Astyanax mexicanus: one gene and its partner. The protein of the gene in region 1 interacts with the protein of each later gene in a biochemical or structural test. Links are inferred from orthologs where the notes say so. Each region holds a gene or a part of one and is shown on either strand. Other genes may lie near its edges.

Region 1 (10,524 bases):
CAGTCATCCCTGTGCTCAAACCAGCAGCACAGAGAGAACCACACCTACAATATAATCTATGTTTCATACTGTTATGTATTACGATATGTTGGAGTTTTTCATAATTAATTCCCTCCCAGGAACTCCTTGTTTCGTATCTGCACCAGCTATGGGAAATTCATAAATTACCTCACATGAGTACTAAAATTGCTCCTTCCCCAACACAGAAGTAATTGTAATGAAAATGAAAGGTAATGAAAATGAAAATATCAGGAGAGAGAAAGTGCTAAATATTTCTGATTGTCTTTTGCAGACCCTAAAATTGACCACCACTGCTACAATTAACTGACATAAATGAAATACACTACTAACAAAATGATTGAATAATTAAATAACCTAGTCAATGTGACTAGTATGATCAGTTTGTTTTTAGCAAAAGACAAATTCACACTGTTCTTATTTCCCATTATATATCTACTAGAGACAGATTATATCTGTGCAGTATCATTTATTTTACTTATCCTGGATATATAAAGATATTTGAGTGCATTATTAGCATCATGATATTCTGTATCACTGACTTCTGTTACAAATCTGATAAAATTCTTGATTTTTTTTCTTGATCTCTGGTAGCGGTTTGCCTAAATTGAATTTTCATTTTGTTGCAGTAGTGTATTCCTCAAATATATATATGTTTTAATTTAGTGTTTTATTATGTTCATAGTATCTTTATCATTAAAATACCTGAAATATTGTGAAATTATATTAGGGCAATATTACCCACCCCTAGTGACAAGCCCTGATTATTCCAATTAAGTGTGGTACTTTTTGAGTAAAAATTAGTATTCTGAAAATCTTGGGGGTAGTGCTGGCGCAAGATTTCAAATGGGGTGAGGGGCGGGGTGCACTTTGAAGAGGGTAAGGGCACTAAGACCCAAACGGGCAGGTGCTCAAGCACCAATTTTACTTGATTTGAATCTCATTAAGAGCCTATCAAATGTATACTGATTAAAAAGTTAATGTTGAACTAAAGACAAAAGTGTTCCTTGACATAACAACAACAATTGTGAAAAGATTTTTGGCACTTTTTACAACCAACATGCTTGCTCTACAGAGAACCATATTCACAAATATAACCACTTACATATTTGGTTCTATCTAAAACCCCTGCCCTGAAACTGCCACGTTATGTGTTGACTGTTAATGGAGTTTTAATTATGGAAACAGAATTACGTTTAGGCTTACACACAGCACTCATTATACTAACACACTGTCTACTATCACACACTCATTTGTTTTGTGTGTGATATTAAGTTAATGCAGTGCATTAAAAGCAGCTTACATAAGGAAGTACCGATTTACAGTAATGTAGCCTGCCTGGGTGTTTGCTGTAGAAGACAAGCAGCTGAACCTGATTAAGTAGGGCAGTGGTACAGCAAACTTGGTGCAGCATGGTGCAGCATGACCCAGACTGAGACTGAATACAGAAGAGGCCGTACAGCTGCGCACTCATGATCAGCAGTAATAACCGCATATCTCTCCTTAGTGCCATAAATCTTCACTATAATATAACACACATCTATAAATAGCATATAGGGAGTCCATACAGTCTAGGAGGAACAGACTCCAGATAAACATCACTTATAATCTGTGATTGGCCCAATTTTCACTGTCCATAACAGTCTTCTCTGGAAATTTAAAAAATGCTGTGTAAAAAAAATAATAAGTGAACAATTAGTAAAACAGACTGATTAGAACAGGCTTACCTGACTTTAACAGCAAGGCTAGAACCCGCAGTCCTATCATTACCACTTTACAGTCTTCATTATGCACGAACAGCACCTTCAGAATTTGCCTGGATTTGCAAATGCGCACACACACACACAAAAGCCAGCATTCAGAAACACACTGGGAGCATATCATAAACACTGTTTTTCAGCTTAACCTGTTTTTCAGACTTTCTTACTGGGGCAATGGACAGGCATTACATACCTGAAGTTAAAATAAGGCTACTTTCACTTTCAGTTATATTATTTTTCTTTCCCAGCTCTTATCAGTCAACTCCCTAAAATGTTTCTGGCTCCGTCATAAATATCTAGGGACAGGTATGTATTGACACTCTACTGTACCTTTGCATAGGGTGGGAGATATGGGAGGATAAGGTTACAACACAATGCAACATCACAAGACGTTTTCACAATACAAAATATTTTTTGCAATAGTCTGACATGTAGACAAAATATACCACTAGCAGCAGATACTTATTTAAAACTGATATCTCAATAATGTCCTGTACTTAACACTGCAATGTCTTAGACTGTACTCCATCCAAACAAGAATTAGAATAATCATACTGTTTGTACACCCTTAAATTAGGATGATTAACTTTGAGCCCATTCTTTCTTTGCTGCTTATATGTTTATTAATATTACAAGCATCACTGCACTGCAAATAAACAGCCAGTTTCATACTTACTGGTGGACACCTAAAACTTCCCAGCTACTCCCAGCTCCCAGCGGCCTGACCAGCTTGTCTAGAGTGGCAGGGCAGATCTCCATCAGACGACACAGTAGAGACCATCCCACCTGCGTTAAAGGAGGCAAGGGTCCATCAATACGTTGCTTTATGTATATGGCTGACATAGTATATATATATATAGTATCAGTCAAACATTTGGGCACACTTTCTCATACAATGTTTTACGTTATTTATTTATTTTCTTTATTTATTTTCTACATTGTAGATTTATATTAAAGACTTTAAAATTAAATGTCTTTGGTCTCCACAATCCTCTGATCTAAACCAAACTGAGATGAGTGATTTGGGATTAAAAGCAGCAACTATTGTTCAGCACCTCCAGGAACTCCTTCAAGTCGCTGAAAAAACTACAGCTCTGAAAAAATAAATAAGAGACCACTTAAAATGATGAGTTTCTTTGATTTTACCAAATTAAAAACCTCTGGAATATAAGCAGGAGGAAGATGGATGATCACAAGCCATCAAACCAAGGTGAACTGCTTGAATTTTTGCATCAGGAGTGGCATAAAGCAGTGTGTAAGACTGGTGGAGTAGAACATGCCAAGATGCATGAAAATTATGATTAAAAACCAGGGTTATTGCACCAAATATTGATTTTTGAACTCTTAAAACGTTATTAATATTAAGACTTTAATATTTTGCATAATTTGAGGTGCATGTTTTTTGTTATTTTGACCATTTCTCATTTTCTGCAAATAAATGCTCTAAATTACAATATGTTTATTTTGAATCTGGGAGAAATGTTTATAGAATGAAACAACAACGTTCGTTTTACTCAAATATATACCTGCAAATAGCAAAATCAGAAAAACTGATTTAGAAACTGAAGTGGTCTCTTAATTTTTGGTCAGAGCTGTATTTCAGGTGACTATCTCTGAGATATAAATACCAGTGTGTGCAAATCGATCCTCAAAGCTAAATGTGGTAGATGTGTGTCAAAATATTTGTTTATTTTATGTAATGCAGTGTAGAAGTGATTCTTACCTGTTGAACTTTGCTGTTGCTGTAGGTTGATAACACCAGCATCAGTGGCTCATGGACATTTTTGTCCTCAAATAGCTCTGCAGCTGAACACCAGAAGGGAGAGAGGGGCTTACATTTCCAAAAATATCCCCCCAAGTGACAGAAGCTCATTCAAATATAGCCCAGCCTGTGTGTGTACTGACTACTGACTACAGCCTGCTGCAACAATAACAACACTCAGAGAGAATTGACCAGTTAATAGACTACACTCCAACACAAATGACCTAGCTAAACTAGCTAAATCCCCAGCATGCATGTTTATTTACACTGGCCATAGCTTGCTAGCTGGCTAATGATCTTACCATATTCCTCTGTGTGAGCGAGGAACAGCAGGTCCTGCATGATCTGGACCATGGTGCCCAGCTGCTTGCCCTCCTCCAGGTTCTTCAGCCTCACTAACAGCTTCTTCACGCTTTCCTCCAGGTCCTGTTTGTTCACCATGGTGCTGGTTACAGTGCTGGCCCTCGGCTGGCACTAAACACATGTGTAAAACCTTTCCACTGGCACATTAAACACAGTGTAAATACAGCGAGCGCCACCACTGCGCAGCACAGCCCGCTTTTCTCCAACACCAGACACGTGAGGAAACTTCACTGAGCGTCTCTACCGCCGCCGCTGGACTCTCTAACTCTGTGAAATAGTGGAAACATGCTTAGTTCCCCTTCTGCTCCACGCCGTGTGAGGAAAGCATGCCCGTCTCTTTAGCGGTCTCTCCTCGGCTGTAGTCCTCAGGCGGGACTGGCCGCAGTAATAAGCGACCTGTGAGTCATATGACTGGAGGAGCAACTTTCAAACAGGAAGAAGCTTCAGCAGCAGGAGCAAGAGGGGGAACTGCACAGACTACTCCTCCAACACCAAGACCTGTAACTAATAGAAGATTTACTGCGAGAGGTGAGTTAATCTAACAGCTAAATATAAATATAGGTGTTTATAGCTAGTCAGCTGTTTAGGTTGTATTTTTTTTATTGAAAAAATTGTGCCGGTGTCCTGACGAGTTGTGCTTACTCCGCAAATCGTGCTACCACAGAGTATATTTGGACGTAAAGCTAGCTTAACTAAACAGGAGATTTGCTATTTCGATAGGCTAAAAGCACCACGTCAGAAATACTGTATAACGCAGCTATAATGCACCCCAGAAAACAGAATTATGATTTTTTTAAAAATCACACGAAACATACTAAACTTGAGTCCGCGCATGCGCAATGCAGCCAAGTAGCACAAACTGATGGGTAGCGTAACTCGGCAGAACACGCTGGTTTCGGGCTTGTGTTTTCTGAACACAGAAACCAAACCTTTGAGATTTATTTGTCCAGAAATGTAATGTGTCTTTCAAAACGACAAAAATAAGTTTATTTTAAGAATGTCACACAGATTAAAATATGTAAAATTGCAGAACGCCCATTAGTTAATGTAAGAAAATATATCTTATAATATTATTTCTATTTGTTTGTATGTTTTCTAAAATAATTTAGCCTATCGCGTATTTCTTAAACTGAGCTATTCCATGTCAGACCACACCCATTGCTCGACGTCATATTTATGGTCTCGTCCCCACGGCGTGGCGCTATTACACTGTATTATGACCGTATATTAAGTAAGGGAAAACCTGAAAAATACTTGATGCAGTATCAAGCAACTGAATTGGACTTATTCAGCTCAAATAGATACTCTGAATTAAATAATGATTAAGACAAATATTTATTTGATTTATTAAATATTTATTCAGTTTATTTAATTGTAACCTTAAAACTACTTTTTGCAGTGTAGTTAACACAAGCCTGTTGGAGCGAGTTGTATATGTGACTCCACAATTTGTTGTTTTAAAATGTAACTAAAGAGAGCATAATTCAATGTTGTCAGTTTGGAAGATCTGTGCTAAATTTTGTCTGCAATCATGTATCGCAATCAATGTAAGGTTTTATAAAAATATATATATTTTTTTACTTTTATCAACCAACCATAGATTTGGTAAATTACATTTAATCTAATTTCCTAAGGCTAGGACTAGATGTGTTTTCACATCAATATATTAAAATTAAGTTACACTATCCTAACAAAGCTGTACAGTAGATCTTCCACACAGATCGCCTGTATTTTAAACCTTTCAGACCTTAATTTCCAGTGATGGAAAACTGAAAGAATACTGTTTTTTTGTCTGTAATGCACAGAAAAGAAGACTCTAATATTCTACTATAAAATCTATAAAGCAAATAAATTAAATTAACTAAAATATTTAATAAATTATAAATTATTATTTTTTATTTACATTTCATTTTCATTGTTTGTAATATTTTTTTATTCTTATTGATCTTTTTATTTCATAAACCATCCCTAAACAGTTTTTTTTTCCAGTGTTTTTGCTGTGGATGGGTCCAAGTTACTGTTTCGTTGCTTTATAAACTTGATCATTGGCTGGTTTCTTGTCTGTTCTGATGAAAAGCATCTCTCAATTAATGTTATGTGCAACAAAACATTTAAAAATGAAAGCAAATATATTATGTCCATTGTAATGGATGCAGTGTCTGAAAGAGTTGAAAAGACTCAGGAAGAAGCTAATTCGAGTGACTATTAGGATTTTTTTTAAAACTGGGGTATGTGTGGGAAAGGGTTTCAGTCATGCTACGTAGATTTTAATTTGAGTGTTTGATTTTTTTTTTAATGTGAAAATCAGCATTCCTGTCTTTACACGCCCATTAATTGGCGTCATACTCGTGACCACGCCCCCACTGCGTGGCGAGAGAGTAGTGCGCATGTTGAGTTGTGCTCCACGTTTCGATGTTTACGTTTTGTATAAGCTGCTGAATTTCAGTCTGTATGTCAGTGTCTCTGGAGTTTAGTGGGGTTTAGAGTTTTAATCTGTGCACACTTCCTCACCTCGCGGTCTCGCGTTGTCGGCTCGCTGGGTGCTTGTTTTAAATGGATGTCTGTGCTTCTCTGTGATTTGGAGGAGGATGGTGGTGTGGAGCTGTGGATCATGGAGGAGGAGGTGATGAGCGCTGGGAGGGGGATGGAGGAAGAGCGCAGTCTGATCACCGCTCCGTCCATCAACACCCGACCCTCTAACTCTGCTGCTGCTGCTGCTGGGGGAGGTTCTGATGGCTCCGCCAGGTTCGTCTACCTCCTGGCCTTCTTCTCGGCGCTGGGAGGATTCCTGTTCGGCTACGACACCGGGGTGGTGTCTGGAGCCATGCTGCTGCTGAAGAAGGAGCTGAAGCTGAGCGCACTGTGGCAGGAGCTGCTGGTCTCCAGCACGGTGGGGGCGGCGGCGGTCGCGGCCCTGGCTGGGGGTTTTCTGAACGGAGCGCTGGGGCGTAGACTGTGCATTCTGCTGGCCAGCTTCATCTTCTCAGTCGGGGGCGTGGTTCTGAGTCTGTCACCCAATAAAGAGGTCCTTCTTGTTGGGCGACTCATCGTTGGGCTTGGCATAGGTAAGTCCCAGATAAATAACACAATATATATATATAGACGTGGTTTATAGAAAGTACTTTCATCCCTACCTTGCTCTGGACTAAAACAGCTGGTCTTAAATGAATAATACGATCCATTTTTTTGCAGTTTGAAAGGACTTTTTAGTTGGTTTGTACTTTCTGACCAGTTACAAGAAGTAAAAAAGTGGTGATGGTGGCAAAAAAAAAATTAACTGAAGGTAGATGGCAGAAGCTGGAGGCTGGATGGTGAGCAGCTGATCTGTGGTGCGTGACAAAAGAGCCTAAAGGACAAATCCCCATCAGTGTTATGCAGCACAGGTTGGACAGGTTTACGTCACATGTTGGGTCTCAACATGTGCAAATTCGATTGCATTCTGCCACAAGAACATAACTGTTATTACTGTTATTGGTATACAATTATTATTTCTGGATTAAAAGTTCCACCTTTATTTTCCTGTTCACTGCAGAGAACACAGCTTCACTGCTCTGTACACCAATTCTGATGGGCATTATGCTCTTTTAGCCCATTCTTGGTATTGGGCATTGTCACAATTTATGTTTCTCTAGAACATCTAAATCTAAAAGCAGTGAATTCCTGTGCAAGTCATTTTTACTATTTAGAAGCCTGGATTCTTTTGGAGATTGATGTAGTAGACATTTAATTTATTTATGTAGACCTACTGTCTTAAAATTCAGTTTAAAAGTATATACTGTTTTATTTCCACAGGTATAGCTTCTATGACAGTGCCTGTGTACATTGCTGAGGTCTCTCCTTCTCACCTCAGAGGTCAACTTGTCACCATAAACACCCTCTTTATCACCGGCGGTCAGTTTATAGCCAGTGTGGTGGATGGGGCTTTCAGTTACTTGAGCCATGGAGGATGGAGGTATGTACATGAGTAGGCTTATATATATTTTTTTCATTTGTTTTGCTGTTTTGATTTATATAAAAAATAGATTAATTACACCCTTGTTAACAATGTAGTAAACATGCTTATATGAGTAGCCAAAGTGGGAACTAGAAAGTTTTTTTCACATACAGCTCTGGAAAAAATAAGAGACCACTTAAAAATTATGAGTTTCTTTGATTTTACCAAACTGAAAACCTTTGGAATGTAATCAAGAGCAAGATGGATGGATCACAAACCAAGCTTAACTGCTTGAATTTTTGCACCAGGAATGGCATAAAGTTATCCAAATCATTGTGTAAGACTGGTGGAGAAGAACATGCCAAGATGCATAAAATTTTGTGATTAAAAACCAGGGTTATTCCACCAAATATTGATTTCTGAACTTCTAAAACTTTATCAATATGAACTTGTTTTCTTTGCATTATTTGAGGTCTGAAAGCTCTGCATCTTTTTAGTTTTTTCAGCCATTTCTCATTTTCTGCAAATAAATGCTCTAAATGACGATATTCTTTTTTTGATATTTGGGAGAAATTTTGTCTGTAGTTTATAGAATAAAACAACAATCTTCATTTTACTAAAAACGTGTACCTATAAATATAAAAATCAGAGAAACTGAAGTGGTCTCTTATTTTTTTTCAAGAGCTGTATGTATGTCAGTAATGGGCTACATCAGAACAAAGATGGAGAAAGAATAAACATGTGCCCCATCTGGGTTGTACACTGCATATGGGGCCTAGATAGGATCCACATGAGACTTAGGCAGACTGTCATTATGGGGCCCATTTAGGAAGCCCAACCCGGTCCCAGTAACAACACATTTACAAACCCACTCAGAGCCACATGGATCTCGCCTAGCCATTGTTCTACACATGTGAACAACATAGCAGCATGTTAGCTGGAACAGTAAGATTACATTGTAAATGTATTACATTTAAAATGTGAGGAAATAACACAACAAAAACAAATAAAAAAGGAAAGATCATGACATTTCTGACCTATGATATGATTGTGTACATTTTATTGGGGGTTTCTGTAGGTATATGCTGGGTTTATCAGCAGTCCCTGCTGTGCTGCAGTTCATAGGCTTCCTCTTCCTGCCTGAGAGTCCTCGCTGGCTCCTGCAGAAGGGTCGGTCTCAGCAGGCCCGTGAGGTGCTCACACACATCAGGGCCACGGAGAATGTGGATGAGGAGTTCAACAACATCAAGAACATCATCGAAGAAGAGGAAAAAGAGTCTGGAGGTGAGCCAACTGCTGTTTGGCAAGGTTTTGGATTCAGATAGAGAGTGCTTTCATACCTAACTTGCTCTGGACTAAAACAGCCTGTCTAAAACAATTTGTTTGCAGTTTAAGAAAACGCTTTTTAGATGGTTTTAACTTTTTGACCAGTTACAAGGTGTTAAGCCAGGCTGTCATCACCCATTCTACAATAGAGGATAAAACAAAATCAATGTTGTGGCTCCCTTTACATATGTCACACAGCAGTATAAGCGCAAATGATTATGCTTGTGACTTCTGTATCTGCTGTAACTGTAGATTATCCTTATTTATGAACAGAAAACAAAGATGTATTCTGTTGCACTCATTCTGATGTATGATGCAGATACACACAAAGAAAAATTAATTCAGACAGGGAGATTTGATAAGGTACAGCCCCTGAAAAAGCAACACACAAAACTAACAACATTCTACAAACCATTCATTTTCCGGTATAGGTAGATGTAGCTCTTGTAGGTGTTTGGGACATGATACTTTTTTTTGTATTTTCTAAACTGTAGTGTGAAAACAAAATTAACCAGACCAAATTAAATATACATTGAAGCACATTAACCTTAAACTATGATTCCAATAAATGCCGCAAGTTTACTAGAATGTGTAAAAAAGTGTTAATCCTATACACATGAGAAAATACCTGCTTATTTTTGGAAATTATATACAGATAACTTTAATGATGCCATGACATTTATTGGCTGTTTGACAGGGGGTCTGGTCCTGTGGCGTATCCTGACTTCTGCACCTGCCCGGAGAGCTCTCGTCGTGGGCTGTGGCCTTCAGATGTTCCAGCAGCTTTCAGGGATTAACACTGTAATGTAAGACACTCATTGACTGAACACACTGCTCATGTGGGTGGACAGTCTACAGAAGACAATGAGTGCTCTGTGTTTTAACTCAACACGAAATAGTTTGCTACAGTGAAAATGTTACTGAAGTAAGCATGGGCACCTTGTCTTCAGTAGATAGTTTTTATGTTGCTCTAAAAATGGGCCGGGCCTTTTTTCTTGTTTAAAAAAATAATCGTATTGTGTACACTGTGGAAACGCAAATATGTTCACATGCTTTAAACATACTTTGCTTTATTTGCTCTCTCAGCAATGATCTCCTCAAGGTATAATCTTTTGGATTATACGGCACACCTAAAACCCTTGAATATAATCCACTGCATAAATATACAGGAATTGGGGGAGACAGGAAAAAGTTCAGGTCTGAAAATGAATGAAAAAAGAATGGTGATTATGTGTTTGAAATATCATGTATTTAGTGTATTTACTAAATGTTAAATTGTTAGTAGTTACTATAGTTTTACACATTTTAATTATTAGCATGTAGAAATTATTTTTAATTTTGTGCTAAAAACTCAATTTGTC
Region 2 (10,727 bases), on another chromosome or scaffold:
TAAGCACATTGACTGAGGTATTAAGGTCGGCTTTAAGCATTTCTGCATGAACAGAGTCTATGCCGGCGGCCTTCCCATTTTTCAAGGCTTTGATGGCAAGTTTGACCTCTTCCTTACTTGGGGGGTGGTCTCGATGTCAAAGACACGTTCTGCTGGTGAGGGGTTAGCAGGATCCTCTGGCTCAGGGCAGTTGAGTACCTCGCGGAAATGCTCAACCCATCTCAGGATCTGATCACTCTCAGTGGTGAGGATGTTACCTTGTTTATCTTTAACAGGGGCCGACTGGCTGGTGTACTTGCCCGAGAGTTGCTTGGTGATCTTATGAATTGTGCTCAACTCACCCCGTGCAGCTGCACACTCAGCTTTCTCTGCTAGGTCCTCAACAAAAGCCCTTTTGTCACTCCTTGCACTCTTCTTTACCTCTCTGTCCTTATCCTTGTAGGCTTTCTGGACCTGCTCATGGAGCCTGGGTGATTTTGTGCTAAGCATCTTTGCTTTCAGCTGTTTTCTTTCTTCAATTCTTTGCCAGGTGCCAGGTGTTAGCCATTCTTTGTTCCCTCTCTTTCTGTAGCCCAGGACTTTGGTGGCTGCCCCTACGTAAGACTTTTTGATGTTCTCCCACTTGTCTTGTGTGTTCAAGTCTTCGTCTACAGATTTAGCGAGAACACTGAAGCTGTTCTTCAGTTCCAGGCAGAACTCTTTGTTGGTCTTGGGGCATCTTAATTTGGCTACGTCAAGATGTTTCCTATGTTGACTCCGCTTTTGCGCTTTCCTTAATTTCAGCTTGATGATGGCTGTTAAAAGGTAGTGGTCACTGTTCACATCGGCTCTACGGTAAACTCGAACATCTTGAAGAGATCTGCGCCACTTTCCGTTCATCAGGATGTGATCGATCTGGTTGATGGTGGAACCATCAGGTGACTTCCATGTGAGTTTGTGGATAGTTTTGTGTGGAAAGATGGTGCCACCAATGACGTAGTTATTGGTCATGCAGAAGTCAACAAGTCGCTCACCATTATCGTTCATCACACCGCACCCGTGCTTCCCCATGTCTCTCTCACAGTCTGTGTTATCAGCTCCCACTTTGGCATTGATGTCACCCATGATCACTAACATGTCATGTTGGGGAACTTTAAAGACTGTCTGCTGTAGCTTTTCATACCACTGGTCTTTTTCCTCCTCATTTGCTTCATTGGTTGATGCATAGCACTGAATGATGGTGAGCTTACAGTGCATGGAGTTGAAGCGCGCTCTGATCAGCCTGTCGCCGAGGGGTTCCCAGTCCAGCAGGGTGTTGACCTTCTCTTTTGAAACTATGAGTGCCACGCCGCGTGTGTGTTGATCGGGGTGCCCAGAGTGCAGGATAACTGTGCCATCGCTCCTCACCTGGCGTCCAGAGCCGGTCCATCGGCATTCACTTATTCCTAGGATGTCCAGCCTGTATCTTCTCATTTCACTCGTGACCTGAGCTGTTTTGGATGTGTCGAACATGGTACGGACATTCCATGCACCCAAGCGGATCGTGGTTTTGGGTCCCAGTAGACTAGCCATCGCGCTCCTGACTTCCTGTTGGAGGCTTTCATCAAGAACGGTCATAATGCCAATAGGTTGGCTGGGGTCTACTGTAAGATCCTTAATAGTATTGCATTTCGTAGAAGTTTCCGTAACGGTATTCTTTTTTACGTGGTGGGGTTGTTGGCCCCGCGCACAACCCCCAACCTGGAGGACCAGGTGCTGTTTTTTGTCTGGCCTCTACCTGGAGTACCTGCCCGACATGGTTGAACCTACTAGGGGCAGAGCCCCCGCCGGTATAGCTATCCGGGTCACAGAGACACGCAAGGTTCCCCACCACGACAAGGTAGCAGCACAAGGGGAACCGATAGGTTTCTTTAAATACTGTCTCTGCAAGCTATGGTTAGCTTTAAGCCTAGCACCTGCTATCTTTCCCCCATTTAATCTTACTAACTCATCAAATTATGCTGCTCTTTTATATACAGGCAAAGCTGTGGTAATGTCAGCTAACAGAGTCTGGAAATAAAGGAAATCCTGCTGAAAGATTGCAAGTGTCAACGGAGTGGTCACAGCTTTGACTAGTTTCAGCAGGAATTTATGAAGTTGGATTTGTGTAAATTTTGTTTAGTTTAAGTTTTTATTTCTTTTATTGTTAATGATTATGTCTTACAGCCAATGAAAACACAAAAGTTAGTGTCTTAGAAAATTAGAATATTATATAAGACCAATTGGTACTTTTGGCAGTTTGGGCAGTGTGCCAAGTCCTGCTGGAAAATGAAATTCGCATCTCCATAAAAGTTTTCAGCAGATGGAAGCATGAAGTGCTATAAGATTTTTCTGGGATGCACCTGTTTATGCTAGTACTAAAATGCCATGTCTGTATCTATTGGAGTTTTTTTTTTCTCCTACTTCCGCTTTTACTTCACTGTATATTTTGGATGAGTTTAATACTTTTACTCTGATACATTTTTATATGCTACATTGTTACTTATTACAATTATAAAAATGTTAAAATTTATTCCAAACTCACATTATCACTAAAGCCAGAGCAGTGAACTTTCCACTGCTTTCTGTTGTAACAACATAACTACACAATACTTATTCTTTTACATTCAGTACTTAAGTATTAATTTTAGAATAAACTAATTGCAATACTTGAATACAAAATTGTTGAATACTTTGGTACTTCGACTTAAGTGTGGAGCTTAAAGAACACTTCAACTTCTACTCAAGTCACTTTTTTTGATAGAGCAATTGTAGTTTTACTAAAGTCTGGGTCTCTAGTACTTTATACATGTCTGATTTTAAATAACAGCCAAACATAGACTCTAAATTAAGCCAGCACTTCTAAGGCTAAGGCTAGTGCTTCTAAGGCTACACATTTAAATAAAGTAAATAAATACATTAACAGAGTAGCACAGAACTTTACTTTACACCTCCCCTCTCTCAGTGGATGGAACAAAAGTGACAGGAATGATTTTTCTTGTGCAGTTAAATATAATGACTCACTTTTTTAAAGGTCATTTTCAGCATTCTCACATTGTGAGAAGATCTTCATAGATTGTTCATGAGTGATACACTGTGACCTTTTATCTCTGTGAAAATGTTCACATTTAGTGCATTGTACTATATGATGACCGTATGATTATATAGCTTGGTTCAAAAGAAATATAACTGCTGCTGTTTTTTTTCTTTTTCATTTCAACTACTTGAAAGCTGCTCACTGCAGCGACTAGTGGATCTTCTGATCAGCTAGTGGACAGGTCAATTAGTCTAGGCAACCCCCCAAATGTCATTATTTAAAGAACATTATGACTATCGAAGTGACTCTTAAACTTCTTTTCACACTGACTATGTGCACATCCTCTTCAACAAGGTCTTATTAAATCCTGCTGTTTGTGTGTGCTCCGCTCCACCACTCCCTTTAATTAAACACTGGAAAAGAGTGTGAGAGACAGAGATGAAGGAAAGTGTGCAGACATGCAGTTCCTCCCCTTACACATTTTTACTGTGTACTCTTATCTCCAGGTTGCGTTGAAATGGACATAAAGGCAGGATGATGGGTCTCATCACTGTAAGAGACGTCTACCGTTAGAATTTCAGCTGTGACCGAAATACACAGGTAAAGTGCTGTGACCTCATTCATTGTTTAAGCATTTACTGTATGGTGGTGACATGTGGCAACATGTATTTGCATTAATTTTGCATTTATATTCTGAATCTCCTTTGAAGTGGGTGTAGTTCAGTATTTTTTTAAAAACAAAAGTCTTTACATCTGTGGGAAGTTAATGTAAATTATAAGTTTTGATGTAATTCGTTTTACATAAAACTGTCAAATATAATATGTTTCCATATGGCAGGAGTGTGTGGTAATTGATCTATAATCTTCAGTGCACGTTGTGGGAGTAAATGTTTTCATCATTAAAATTATTTTTTTACAATTTCTGTATTCTCAAACAGTTGCAGATTTTTCCCTCTCCCTGTGATAAATGACATATTGCATTCTATTGGTCTCATCATATTAATTGCAGAATGTAGCGTATCTGTTTTCATTAAGTTAAAATGGATGTGGTTAGTCCTTCTAACATCTAGAAATTAACTGCATAGAAACTATATCTATTTTATACAGCTCTGGAAAAAAATAAGGGATCACACAAAAATGATGAGTTTCTTTAATTTTACTAAATTAAACATCTGTGGATTATAATCAAGAGGAAGATGGATGATCACAAGCCATCAAACCAAGCTGAAGTTCTCCAAAAGCAGTGTGTAAGACTGGTGGACGAGAACATTCCAAGGTGCCTAAAAACTGTGATTAAAAAACAGGGTTATTCCACCAAATATTGATTTCTGAACTTCTAAAACTTTATAATATGAACTTGTTTTCTTTGCATTGTTTGAGGTCTAAAAACTCTGCGTCTATTTTGTTATTTCAGCTATTTCTCATTTTCTGCAAATAAATGCTCTAAATGAAAATATTTTTATTTGAAATTTTATTTGAATGTTGTCCGTAGTTTTTAAAATAAAACAACAATGTTCATTTTGCTCAAACATATACCTATAAATAGCAAAATCAAAGAAACTGATTTAGAAACTGAAGTGGTCTTTAAATTTTTTCCCGTGTTGTATATATAATGTATGTTCTCTTTTTGCTGACTAATATCATTTTTGTATCAACTATTGTGATAAGCTATCACCTTCTGAACTGTAATAAACCCTTATCTTAATGTCAGCTCTATTGCAAATGTCTATTTCCCACTGTTTAATGTTCACTTGTGAGTAAATATTGATTGACCTAAATAAACACGGATGCAGCCTACAGACGTTAGTCATGTATGGACACAGTGTATCAACATGTTGTTCCAATGTCCCAATGCCAAATGATTCTCACTTTACTTTAGATGACGTTGCATTATTTACATATTCTTCGTACCACAAACACTTGCACTGGTATTCTGTGGTACAAAACTTCAAAATAGTTATAGTTATGTCTGATTTCTGTGGAAAGCTTTGGATGATGATACTATCAGAGTGTGAAATCAAAACCAAAACTTCAAAATCAAAACATGAACCTGTTTAACTACATGAAAACATTTGTATCCCTCTTTTGTAAAGCTTTGCAAATGCAGTAATGCAGTTGTACAAAGGCGAAGTATAGATAGAAGATAAAAGAGAGAGGATAAAATGAATTCTGTTTAGTAATTGGGCTTCAGTAGTAAATCACTGTGAATAAATGAACAGATAATTTGGACACAAATAGGTTGACAATACAACTGAGCTCAGTCTTGTGGTGGGTGATTGATTCCGCACTTCCACACAGAGGACAATGCCTGTGATTGTGGGCGTCCGTCTGTGGTCATGGCAGGTCTAATTGTTCCATCAGTGATAGACTGCTCCAGCATGAGGGAAATGAGGGCAGGCAACGTGTGCTTACTCGACCTGCTCTGTTCAATAAACACAGCCTCACTGAACTGATCAAATGTGCACTGATTCTTTAGCTGTAGAGCATCACAAGACCACACACTCATTCAGCCAGAACAGTTTTAGTGCTGGAGATGGTTAAAAGATGTGAATCTAGACAGATAGAAACATTGTACGTTATATTTGTTAGCTTAATTGACACCATTATTATGAATATTATGAAAATTTTGCCAATCTTACATTCATTCTTATTTTTTATATTTCTTACATTAAATTGATATCCACTATTAAAAATGTAACTATTAAGAAGAAAGAAGAAAAGTAATACATTGTAATTAATCACAGTATAATATATGTGATTAATCTGATTATTTTAGTTGTTGTACAACACAAATATTAATTTAATTTCTATTTGCATTATTACATTAATTATTTTTTATTTATTATTTACATTTAGATGTCTGCTATTAAAAGTGTAAGTCTTTAAAAGAAAAAAGTGTAAACAATAGTTATTAGTCACACAATATTGTTTGATTAATTTAATTATTTTAATCCTTGCATTCGTAATCATCTTGCCAGCAATACATTAATTCTTTTATGTTAATTTAAATATCCATTATTGCTAAGCCATAAAAAAATCAAAAAAAGTTTAATCAATCACAGATAATTATGTAATATTACTGTGTTGATTTTTATTATAAATAGTATTTGAATATAATTACCTAATACGTTTTTGTAAAAGTGTTTAAACACATTTGTGCTAGAAGATTATCCATTTAATTAGATTAGATGAATATATAGAGCTAGAGCTTGAATATATCACATATTTGCATTATTGTTCCTTGACTAATAGCTTTTAAGCAGTTGAGATCCCCAGGCTGTAATATATATTATGTTGAGGACGTGTCATTTATTGTGGGAAGAGAGCGTGCCTGATGATTATAGTGATAAGCTAAGTGCTCACTCAGATTCACAGTAGTTTTGTCTCTTTGCACATGAAAGGGGTGTGTCTTCTGCTGACTGTGTGGTGGTGGAATTCTCCCCACCCCCTAGAGTGTGTGTGTACTCAGATATACCTGAGTGGTGTGGTTTGTTTTGTGGTGTTCAGCCGACTGAAATCATCAGATTTTTTTCTCCTCCTTTGTTTTGAAAGGAAGTGCTGACTGTGTTGTTAGTCCTCAGGGGTTGTGGGATTTTACTGCGTTAAGGCCGTGTTCTCATGGCTTGGTTGGAGAAGATGAAGATGTCCCACCATAATACACTGCACTGCTGTTTCCCCCAGGCCCTCAGGATGTTCCAGAGGAAGAAGAAGAAGAGGAAGATAGAGATTTCTGCGCCCAAGAACTTTGAGCACCGGGTGCACACGTCTTTTGATCCTGCCAGAGGCTGCTACGTAGGACTTCCACCGCAATGGCAAAGTGTAATAGAAACACTGAGGAGACCCAAGCCTGTGGTGGATCCATCCAGGGTCACTCCTGTGCGACTCAAAGCAGAGAAGGTAAAGCAAAAAAAAAAAACAATATATATGTATGTATATACAGTACTAGTCAAAAGTTTGGACACATCTTTTCACCTTATTTAATGTGTTTTCTTTCTTTTTATGATTTTTACATTGTAGATATAATATTGAAGACTTTAAAGCTATACAGGAACACATGTATGTGGAATTAGTTGTGTGTTAAACAAACCAGAATATGTTTTATACTTTAGATTCTTTTAAGTGAAAGATCAGCACACTTTTTTCAGTGTCTTCATGAGAGAGAGTCATCTGGAATAGTTTTCTCAGCATCTTAAAGGAGTTCCTGGAGGTGCTGAACAATAGTTACTGCTTTTCCTTCACACTGTGAAGCTCCAGTTCATCCCAAATCACCTCAACTCACCATCTCATTTGGGTTTAGGTCAGGAGATTGTGAAGCCAAAAACATTTGTTTACTACATAATTCAGTATTTTAAATAAATTAAACATAGAAATAAAGAAAACATTAAATAAGAAGATGAGTCCAAACTTTTGTATGCTAGTACATATATGACTGGTAGTATATGTATTTTATTTCAAGAATACACTACTGCAACAAAATGAAAATTAAATTTTACTATTGCATATGATATTATTTGGCTCACCCCTGAGATATTAAAAAATACAAGAATTTTATTAGATTTGTAACAGAGGTCAGATTCAGATGATTCAGATTGTCATGATCACAGAATACTGTTGTGATTATTATAATTATGTAATTGACATTTGTGAAACTGTTTGCACAGGTTTGTGTTCGGAGATTGTCCATAAAGATCATTTGATTAAGTTAAATAATAGAATATATGTAAGCATGTCTCTTACCAAAATTATATTTGTAAAATTAAATGTGTCACACCTAATTAGCCATACCCATACATTTCTTCCAAAATCATATTTTTTTCTATAATAACAGCCTTTACTCTTTTAGGAAGACTTTACACTAGATGTTGTGAGGATTTGATTGCAGTCAGACAGAGGAACATTAGTGAGGTCAGGTACTGATGATTGGTGATTAGTTCTAGATCACAAACATCACCAAAGAGTTGAATAGAACTTCACAGCTCAATACAGGGGCTAGCTGACATTTTTCAACCTGGTGGTTTTGGGTTCATGTACAGCTGCTTTAGAGAGTCACATTCAATTCGTAATGGTGTTCTATGGAGATGAGTGTGTGTAGAGCACCTGTGTCAGCAATGGGTGCACCTTTAACTAGTTGTTTTTCCTAAATATATGGGATGGGGGATACTTTTGGACATGTGGTGTTAGTCTCAGAACAAAGTGTGGTAGGTGTTGTTATGCAACTTGGTCTGTCACCTCCTCTTCTGAGCTTTTCTGTGATTATCAGTCCTTTTGTAAGTAGTAATTATTTAACATATGTAACAAAATCCCTCATTCTGTGAAATACTTCAGAATTACATTTGAAGTGAATGGATATATTACACTTTACCTAGCTTATTGTATAGCAATTCTTCTGAGGATTTGCTGTAGCGTTGCTGTGATGATTTGATTGCATTTATTGACAAGCATGTTAGTGAAATCAGGATGTTGGTATGATCACACCCATGCTTATTACTGCCTTATCCCTAAAGTATTTGGATTGAAAACCATACTACTAGAGAACACAGCTCCACTGCTCCACAGCTCAATACAGCAGTGCTTTATTTTGTTTCTTTGCTCCAGACTACAGGGACTACTAATGTTGAGTGTGTGCATTTACACATCTGTGTGAGCAATAGGTCCAACTGAATGTATTTGTTGTGTCTATTTAGGGTGTCAACAAACATTTGTACATGTAGTACCTTAAACACTACCTTTGGAAACACTCACACAAAATCTTCACAATAGCCATGAGAAATGAACAATTAGGACTGAAAATGAATATGCAGAGTGAAGTCTTTTCTTAGACAGAATGAACAAGAGAACCTGAAGGACAAGTTCGCTTTCCTCCTTGCTTAAATGAAATCTGGTCTCAACACACACATAGCTGAAGTTCACTGGGAGATCAGATAGCATTGTTTTGACACATGGCCCAGACCTCTCTGTTATATTTCCTGAACAAGCTCATGCTTTCAGGTGTCAGCCTTGCAGTTAAAATCATTTAAAAACGAATTAATAAAAAGTAAAAAATATTCTAAATACAATTTAATTTTAAATCTAAAAAGAATAACTAGGGATAAAGTTTTTTTTGCCCGAGTATGAGTCATTTGTTTTTCAGTATCTGCTGATACCGAGTCCCGATCCGATACTTTGACAATACAGAAAAAAGAACACATCCAAGATAATATTTAATAATATTTGTTATTATTTGTATTGTATGTTTGTTATTGCGACAGTATAGTGTAATAATAGTGTAGTGTGGTTTAGGTCTGGCAGACTACAGCTTTGTTTGCTGTATATTAAATATTATGGTACCACTTTAAAATAAGACTACCTTTATAAAGGGTTTATAAATGGTTTACAATGAGTTTATTAATGGTTACTAATTAGGCTGTAAATGCCTTACAAATCATTAATAATCAGTTATAACACATACATAGAAAGGGCAACAATATAGATGGCTGTGGGTTCACTATTTGACAAACAACAGGTCATAGTCGCCCTTTCTACGTATGTGTTATAATTGATTATTAATGATTCTTAAGGCATTTACAACCTAATTAGTAACCATTAATAAACTAATTGTAAACCATTTATAAACCCTTTATAAAGGTAGTCTTATTTTAAAGTGGTTCCAATATTATATCTCCGGGTAGTTTTGATGCTTTTTAAATGAGAATATTTTAATGTCCCAAGTTAACTGAGTGAGTTTAATAGAGAAAATAAACGCTCCTGTAGCTTCATATAATGTGTGTCTGTGCATATATGCGTGTGTGTCCGAGTGTGTGTGAAAGACGGAGAAAGACTGAGAAAGAGCAGCTTAAAGTGTTGATGTGTTGATAGTTTGGAGGAAATGAAGGTGGATGGATGGATAACAAATCATATCAGTATCATTTTATTTCATTACTGTATTTATTTGGCTTGCGCTCATACTTTCTCAATGGTAATAAAGATAAATTCCTCCAAATCTGCTAATCCTTTATTTAATTCCATTATGAATCATCAGCATTGCAATAGGGATACAACCAAAAGCCCATTCTTGATAAACCTGTTTAATTACATGATGCCATAATATTTACACACCACACCCACTAGATATGAACATATGTTGGAATAATTAACTATTAAAATGTTTCTGTTGGTTCTGTTGGAGCTGTGTGTGTGTTTAGATTTCTTGTGGGTAAGTACAGTGGTCATAACCTACACACAGAACAAGATTTTGGATTGGCCATGTTACACATAAAATTGGCTTACATATTTCAAATATGTAAGCCAAACACCTCAGATCCCTCCTATCCGATACTTTGATTGGAGAGTGAAAAAAGACACACAAATCATCAAATTCATTGTTAGTACCTTAACAGGCCTTGTGGCTCGAATATGGGTGATGTAAGTGAACAAAACTCTTTTCCTATGCAGTATTTAAATTTAAATTGTTAAAATGTTGAGGGATTTGGAGACTCATACAGGACACTTACTTAATCATTTAAGATCAGTAATCAAAACTAAATTCTGCACGTTTGAAATGAGACACAAATCTAGATAACTGTAATGAAATTAAAGGTTTGGTGGATGGAAAATTTTTGATTTGTATTCAACAAACATTGATTTTAAATTTAAGTTCAGGAAAGCACCAATTTATTGTTTTTTATTCATAATATTTGCAGATTTACTTCAACAT

The links. The genes of interacting proteins can lie anywhere in the genome.
Region 2: the proteins of lrrk2 (region 1) and pak6b form a complex in vitro, tested with the Homo sapiens proteins (2 studies listed by BioGRID). The link is inferred for Astyanax mexicanus from reciprocal best matches to the Homo sapiens genes LRRK2 and PAK6.

Annotation. Positions count from the first base shown.
Region 1 is NC_064409.1:58,635,717-58,646,240, forward strand, and holds the start of lrrk2 (leucine-rich repeat serine/threonine-protein kinase 2), read right to left. Parts: upstream 4,259-10,524; 5' UTR 3,982-4,258; coding exon 3,843-3,981; intron 3,585-3,842; coding exon 3,502-3,584; intron 2,565-3,501; coding exon 2,455-2,564; intron 1,835-2,454; coding exon 1,746-1,834; intron 1-1,745. Other genes in the region: slc2a13b (solute carrier family 2 member 13b), read left to right, coding at 6,461-6,968, 7,696-7,855, 8,916-9,121, 9,861-9,969. UniProt on the Homo sapiens protein: Serine/threonine-protein kinase which phosphorylates a broad range of proteins involved in multiple processes such as neuronal plasticity, innate immunity, autophagy, and vesicle trafficking.
Region 2 is NC_064408.1:74,341,171-74,351,897, reverse strand, and holds the start of pak6b (serine/threonine-protein kinase PAK 6b), read left to right. Parts: upstream 1-6,522; 5' UTR 6,523-6,652; coding exon 6,653-6,931; intron 6,932-10,727. UniProt on the Homo sapiens protein: Serine/threonine protein kinase that plays a role in the regulation of gene transcription. The kinase activity is induced by various effectors including AR or MAP2K6/MAPKK6.